Schizosaccharomyces pombe: one gene and its partner. The protein of the gene in region 1 interacts with the protein of each later gene in a biochemical or structural test. Each region holds a gene or a part of one and is shown on either strand. Other genes may lie near its edges.

Region 1 (3,757 bases):
AAGCATGCTTCCACCTATCCATTGCTAAAATTTTTTAAAATTCTTTAGCTCATGTCCCCACAGTTTCAGTTTGGGTTTGGGATTTCTTGAATTTGTCTCCAATATTGGTGCACCGTTGCGTTTGAGAAGCTGCCTTAATATTTAAATAATGTCCAAGCTTCATAGAAATCGTGGTTTTTTTTTAATTTCATGTATGCGGTTTTGTGTTTGAAAGTTTTACGTTACTATTATGACGGAATTTACCACGTGTATTCTGGTTATCATAAAGCTATTGTTAATTACACGTTACATGTTTCGAAACCTGCGACGATGTCTGCTCTCGCTTTTTAAAATTTAATTATAGAATATAGACTTTAGAGATAAAGCTATTTATTTCTCAAATATTTCAAATTAATTAACTATGAAACCTTTGATAAATTCTAAATATTGGGTGAATAGTAGCAGTTATGTATCGTACATTGAGTGTAGATAGTAATGTGAGTGCGCGCTACTACTATAGGAGTTCCTTTGAAATAACGTATAACATGAATTTTCAAACACAGTCCAGCTGGTTTGCACACCTTCATTATTAGTTAATTAGCAGCAATGGCACGCAAAAAGACATAAAATTAACGTAAAAATAAGTAAAAATTTGGGCATAACAGTATCAGATTAATCCAATTTTAAACTGATTCGTTTGAGGAAGATTTATAGGAAGCTTCTGATAAAAGCCTTAATAAATTCATAGTATCCACATATTTGGAGAAGGACAACAAACTTTTACGATGGGCTATGAAATCCTGGGCAGCAAGGCGACCATATGATGATCGGACTTCAGGTCCAGCGTTAGTCAAAGAATGCAAGGTATGAATATTTTCAGCAAGCATGTCCAGGAGAGTGTGGAATTTTGGTTTCAGCTTACTTATATTAGGAAGTTCTGGTGCATCATCTGGGGGTAATGGAGAGTCCTGTTTATCAAGGTCTTGTTTAGAATCTATGGATTCTACAGCTTTTTTAAAAGATAAAATTGATTTATCTGAACTGACGGAATTAGCAGCAACAGCCCGCCATGCAGCTTCTTCATTATGGAGTTGGGTAAGCTTTGCCGACAGTTCGTCCACTAGCTGAGCATTTTTGAGATTTTGAGGATGAGGTTTATTAGGAATTACAGCATCAGGTGGTCTTTGATACCAACTAACACTAACTTTATTAGCCAATAATTCGTTAAGAACTTCTTGAACTATTGATCTAGCAATAGCTGCCTCACTGGCTTCCTCCGTTTCACCGTATTTTTTTCTTTGCTCTTCTAAGGCCTTTGAAGAAGCCCAAAGGAGAAGTTGTTTGATACGTAAAGGTTCGGATAAGTCTTTGGATATATGGCGATAGTATTCATGCGATGGAACATCTGCATGTGGTAAAGCTTCAAATCCAGTACCAATGCTACTAGCACGCTTACCCCGTTGGTCAAGACTACTCCTTCTTCCTTTACCCTTGCGAAGTTCTTTGTTTCGCTTCACAATTGGTGTATCAGACACGGGTAGCTCAACTAACCCATCGGTTTGGGAGGTATCTGGATCATCCTCCACAGATGATTTCCTTCTTTTAGAACCAGCTTTTTCTTTACCCTTCCTAACGAATACAAATCCTTCCTGCTCTTCAGGCTTTCGTTTCATAATGGATGCTGGTTAGGGTCAAGTCGAGTCAGGATTGCAAAGACTACCTTACTCATTGTTTACACTAGGTAACCTAACAAAGTATAGCGAGCGCGTTATAAGTCGGCCTTACAATTGAGCATTGAAAATTCATCAAAGCAAAGTATATTCATGTAGAGAATAAATAAAAAAATAAATAATGATTAAATTCTTTTTTACTGTTAAGTATTCCTTTCTTTTTGGAGATACACTTGTTACAACTTGGTATAAAATATTTGTTTAATTGCTAGATTATCTTCGAACTTGCAAAAACAAAAATATATATCCTTTTTTCTGCTGTAAAATAATAAGAATAATAATTTTAACATAATCCATTGAATGGTTGGTTAATTCCCCTTATAAATTCATAAGACCTCTTCTTATACTATATCAAGTTTACTGTTTATGTAATATATATATATATATATATATATAATTGAGGAATGCGACATGAAATGCTAAGCTGAAAAGTTATGCAAATTACAAAATGTGGATATTATTACCATTAAAACTGTTTACAGTTTTTGACAAATAGTCAAGATGTCCATGAGCTGCCAGGATTGAGCTTGTACTTTATCATAATTGTTGAAAAATATAGCGACGATAAATAAGATGAATAATCAAATATAAGTATAATGAAAAATATTCGAGTATTCTATATGTACAAAATCTAAATTGTAGTAATTTTCAGACTTAGCTGGTTATTGTTGATTTTAAATCGCTGCATATTATTTACAGAAAGTACCCAATTTTAGATTACATGGCTTTGCAGACAAGCCAGAACTTTAAGGATCCAGTATAGTTTTAAGAATTAAAAGTTTGAATTATCCTACTCTTAAAACACTTCCTATATAAAGTTGTTTCAAAATATTCTGCAGTCAAAAAGGCAACAGTAGTCGGTGTTTAAAGCTCTTTTTAACTTAAGTGAAGTAATAGTTTTCTTATTATAATTATTAATTTATTTGTTTTATTTATTTTAATTAAACATGGAATTTATAACCACAGCATGTCCTGTACAACTTACTTTTCGAGCACTTACTTAGGTTGCCATCATCCTCAAATACGAATTTATTTCGGAATTTTTAAATTCTTTATAATTGAAAAGAATCTTTACTGATTATCTGTTCTTAATCTGTCTCAGTGTATTGCCAAGATCTACGACGATCTGTCTCATCTCTCTTGTATCTTTCCTTTCTACTACATCGAAAGTTAGAGTTAACTGGATTCATTGAAACCAGGGTTTTTTGGAGCCAATTCTAAGTGGTATGTTATGTAATAGTATCCTTTTTGATAATTGTAATTGCTTTTGTTTCTCTGAAATTTTTAATCGATGTTCTATGTTATACTATATAGACCTCATACAGAAGAAGCATATTAAAACGAAATGAAAAGAGATCACACGGATTTTCTTTAAATACTTTGTTATTTTTATACCAAAAGCTAATTGTCTTCAAGTGGAATAGTTTAAACCTTCATTTCTACATCAAGTTCATTTCAAATGGCATTATTAAAAACTTCGTTGGATGCTCCATTCACTAAAATTGCTACCGGCAAAGTCAGAGACCTGTATGAGTGTGTAGAATTTCCCGATGATCTTTTGTTCGTAGCAACAGACAGAATAAGCGCCTATGATTTTATCATGGAGAACGGCATCCCTGAGAAGGGAAAGGTTTTGACAAAAATTTCAGAATTTTGGTTTGATGTTTTAAAACCTCATGTCCAAACTCATTTGATTACTTCTAGGTGGGAAGAATTACCTCCTGTTATCACGAAGCATGAAGAGTTAAAGGATAGATCCATGCTCGTTAAGAAATACAAGATTCTTCCTATCGAAGCTATTGTTCGTGGCTATATCACTGGAAGTGCTTGGAAGGAATATCAAAAGCAAGGGACTGTTCATGGCCTTAACGTACCTACAGGAATGAAAGAGGCAGAGGCCTTCCCTGAACCCCTTTTCACCCCCAGCACCAAAGCTGCCGAAGGCCATGATGAAAACATTCATCCTGATGAAGTCAGTAAAATTGTTGGACCTGAATTAGCCAAACAAGTTGCTGAGACTTCTGTAAAGCTTTACAAAATAGCCCGTG
Region 2 (3,757 bases), on another chromosome or scaffold:
ACAACTATTAGATGCCTCCCAATGTTCGTTTTCTTACTAAAATTTATCATCCAAACGTTGATAAATTAGGTCGCATATGTTTATCTACGTTAAAAAGTATGTTAAACTTCACACGTTTCATCTTATTTTGGTGTACTAACATTAATAAATCAGAGGATTGGAGTCCTGCTTTACAAATTCGAACCGTGCTACTTTCGATACAGGCATTAATGGGTGCTCCCAACCCAGATGACCCTTTAGACAATGATGTTGCAAAGATTTGGAAAGAAAATGAGCCACAGGCAATTGCAAATGCCCGTGAATGGACGAAAAAGTATGCAGTTTGATTACTTATGATAGTCCAATGCTTATGGTTATCACTAGAATAATAATATATTACGATATCAATAGCTTTCTATATACAGTCTTTGATTTGAATTCTACCCATTTCCTTAAGTTTTTTGCATTCAATTTTTTCCTAAGCGGTTAAGGTCTTTTCGAATAAAAGATGTAAAAATTAATAATAGATAATTATGGTAGCAGAATACAAACATCGCAGCTTTTGACGGACGATGAAAAAAGTGATATCTCGACGAGCACAATTAATTTAAGATATAGTGCTATTCATATAACAAGGAAGTATTAAAGTTTAAGCAAAATCCATAGTTATTATTGTTAATCTTGCAAAGCTTTCATTAATCTAGCAGAAAATAATTTTCCTTGTTCTTTCGTAAAGATAATTTCCTCCAACAAATAGTCTGGTAAATGTTTCATAAGCTCCTCATCAGTTTGAACATTCAGACGTGGAGTAAATGTAAAGTTTTGATCATCTAACAAGAGCTGATATTCGAGTGCTATAATAATATCCTGTTAGCTTGAAATTATTTCTAAATCCCTTAAAGCACTTACTCCCTCTCCTTCCAGTGTTTTTACAGTTGAAACGATATCCATCCTCGTCCTCTATACAGTCTGCAACTTCTAATCCGAAAAGCTCCTTTATAAGTATATTAATTTTTGAATAGTTTTTTATTTGCTCTCGAGTTTTCAATAACTCATTCTTTAACGAATGGTTAGCTTTCTTTTCATTTTCTAGTTCTTTTTTTAAATCTTTGACTATTGTGTCTTCTTGAATGTAAGTAAAAAATTCAGAAATAGGCCTTAGTCTTACCATCAGCGTCAGCGCCAGCATTGGTAACAGGTTTTGCCAAATCTTCAAGTAAATAAAATTCTTGTAGTTCATTAATTTTTCGTATCAGCTTGTTCAGTTCATTGAATTCCTGCTCTTGGGTGTGCGAAAGAGTAGATAACTCTACGTTAGGGAGTTGCAACTTCTTATTCAACTCTGACATCCCGGAATTATTGATATGAAGTTCATTTTCGTTCTCCCTTACACTATATGCATCTTGATCTTCATTATTAACAAAATCCTGAGTTGAATGCATTTGTCCTTGAGAGATGCGTGTACGCTGTTTTGGTAATTTATGAATAAGCTTGGACGATTTTCCTTTAGCTTTGATATGTCAGCTTAATCTACACAGAATAAATATACCTTGTTCTTTTAGTTCACTATCTTTAGATGTTTGCATATTATTTTTTCTCATACTTTGTGGTGGATAGTGTTAACATTAATAATTGATCCTGGTGTGCAAATACATTAAATAAATCTAAAATATATCATAATAACTGTTTTATATTTCTTTCAATATAGTCCTTGAAGCCACTTTATTTTGACCGTCTTAGACGGTGGATTCTTTGGATTAAGCAGAAATTATGCAGTTAGCTTGATTCCAAATACAAGTTGCATTATTGCCTACTAATTTAATATTTTTAACAGATGAGCTACCAAGTCTTTCATAGTAAAATCATGTTTCTTTAATTCTTCTCTGTCATAGATTTCCGATTACACCTCCGCCTATCTCACCATATTTCTCCCACTCAATACATTCTCTAGGCTATTATATATCCTTCGATCCTGTTGCTTAACCTGCAAAGAAACTAAATTAAATATCTTCATTTTATTTTCTAAATGGGATGAATTGTAGACGAAAACCTCTTCCTTTACACTCGAACGAAGTTCAAGCTGCAGAGTCTATAAGTAAAGATGAGCTCTATAGGTTTGTTATTTCATTACTTTTCATTTTAATTAACCAACGTATTTAGCTGGACTTTAAAGAATGTGTTAATCCTGTTCTTAGTACAGTATCGTGCATCTACCCCTTCAGCTCTGCAGACATCATCATTTAGTACACCAGTTGAGAAAAAGACCAATGGGGCATTTTCTGGTAGTCTATTTTCTGCCAAAGAAAAAAAAGATAATCCAAAATATCCCAAGGATTTTATAAAATATTTATCGCTTGCCCTTGAGAGTATTAGTATGGGAAAAGAGCCAGAATATCAAGATCAGTTGATCAGAGGATGTTTCGCAGCATTTTACAATAACATAAACAAATCTCATATATCTAAGCAATTAAAAGACTCGAGGAAAATTGAGGATATGTTTTTGATTTTTGCCAGCTCTGTTTCATCTGAACTTACTAAACGTTTGGGAACAGCTTACGATTCAAATTTAGCAGACAGAATTACTGCTTCCTTTATTGAGTTATGCAAAAGAGTCACGCTTAAAGGCCAATTGGCTTCCCCATCATCTGAATTTGTATCCCATCTTGACATGTATCACTCAAAGCTTCTCAACAAAAGTGAAATACTGAGTACAAAACGCGTTAATAGAGGACAAGATCAATTTGACCTTTCATCTTTTCCTTTGTTAAAAGTTTTTTCGTCAGTATTCAAGGTTGCTTATTCAAAAGCATTGTTGGATGCTGAAAAATTATTTCCCTCAATAGATGAGGCCGCCATAGCTGAAGATATTGGCATTTTAATTGAGGATTTAGAAAGTGATGCTTGTAAATTTTCGCATTCGGTGGTCGATTTTTCTAATTATAAATCATACTCCACTTGGAAAGCTCGTGAACTTCAAACACTAGAACAACATCGTAAAATCATGTTAAGTTTGATTCCTCTTTCTTCATCACCAAATCACCCTATTCAACCGATTGGTTTTCCTGCCAGTAGAAAAACGCCGACATACGTGCCGCCAATAGCGCGGCCTTACTTTCGGCAACTTCTATCGCTATGTCTTGAATACAGATTACAAGTTACAGATCCTGTTGAAGTCAAGCAAATAAACACATTTATAAGGGAGTGCTCCATTTACTGGAGAATATTGCCATCCACTCGCTGTGCTTTGAGTATGGATTTTGCACGCGAACATTTACAAAAAGGGTTGATAACTTCAGCAGACGTTTTGACACATTTCGGTGAGCTTCATAAGTCACTCAAAGAATGGGAGATAACATATTGGCCAAAGATCGATGTTTCAATTTTTAGTTCTGCATTGTTTGGAATCAGAAATGCATTAGCTCAACTTTTAAAGAAATCACTTTTAGATTTGTTGCACGAAAAAAAGGCTGATTTTCATCGTTGGTTAAATATAATGAGCATATGTGTTGAAGATGGTAAGGTGATCAATCAAGATTTGTCTCCGAAAAGTGAGATCTCTTCTGTTGCATTGGCTCTCCAAGAGCATTGTAAAGTAATATTTGATGAGGAATTTGATCTTTCGAAATTACCCTCTTCTAATTTTCTTGACGAAATCATATTAGCCAGTAACAGGATATCTGTACGAATTAAATTCTTGGAAAGGAATTGTTCCGAATGTATTTACGGAGTTTTGTCACTTCCACAAATCTTTATAAATATTGTTCTTCCTAATTACATA

What was found. The genes of interacting proteins can lie anywhere in the genome.
Region 2: the proteins of mis13 (region 1) and csm1 form a complex in vitro, tested with the Schizosaccharomyces pombe proteins (2 studies listed by BioGRID, with this or other methods).

What each region holds. Positions count from the first base shown.
Region 1 is NC_003423.3:1,153,950-1,157,706, forward strand, and holds mis13 (MIS12/MIND complex Mis13/Dsn1), read right to left. Parts: upstream 1,673-3,757; 5' UTR 1,653-1,672; coding exon 663-1,652; 3' UTR 355-662; downstream 1-354. Other genes in the region: ade7 (phosphoribosylaminoimidazolesuccinocarboxamide synthase), read left to right, coding at 3,169-3,757. UniProt on the Schizosaccharomyces pombe protein: Acts as a component of the NMS (Ndc80-MIND-Spc7) super complex which has a role in kinetochore function during late meiotic prophase and throughout the mitotic cell cycle.
Region 2 is NC_003424.3:5,283,953-5,287,709, reverse strand, and holds csm1 (microtubule-site clamp monopolin complex subunit Csm1/Pcs1), read right to left. Parts: upstream 1,601-3,757; 5' UTR 1,581-1,600; coding exon 1,529-1,580; exon of another isoform or gene 1,490-1,528; coding exon 1,148-1,489; intron 1,102-1,147; coding exon 889-1,101; exon of another isoform or gene 834-888; coding exon 655-833; 3' UTR 420-654; downstream 1-419. Other genes in the region: ubiquitin-conjugating enzyme Ubc13, read left to right, coding at 12-96, 154-326; Munc family exocytic/endocytic regulator Ync13, read left to right, coding at 2,011-2,093, 2,140-3,757. UniProt on the Schizosaccharomyces pombe protein: The monopolin-like pcs1/mde4 complex is essential for accurate chromosome segregation during mitosis and meiosis II. May clamp together microtubule binding sites on the same kinetochore, preventing merotelic attachment of microtubules.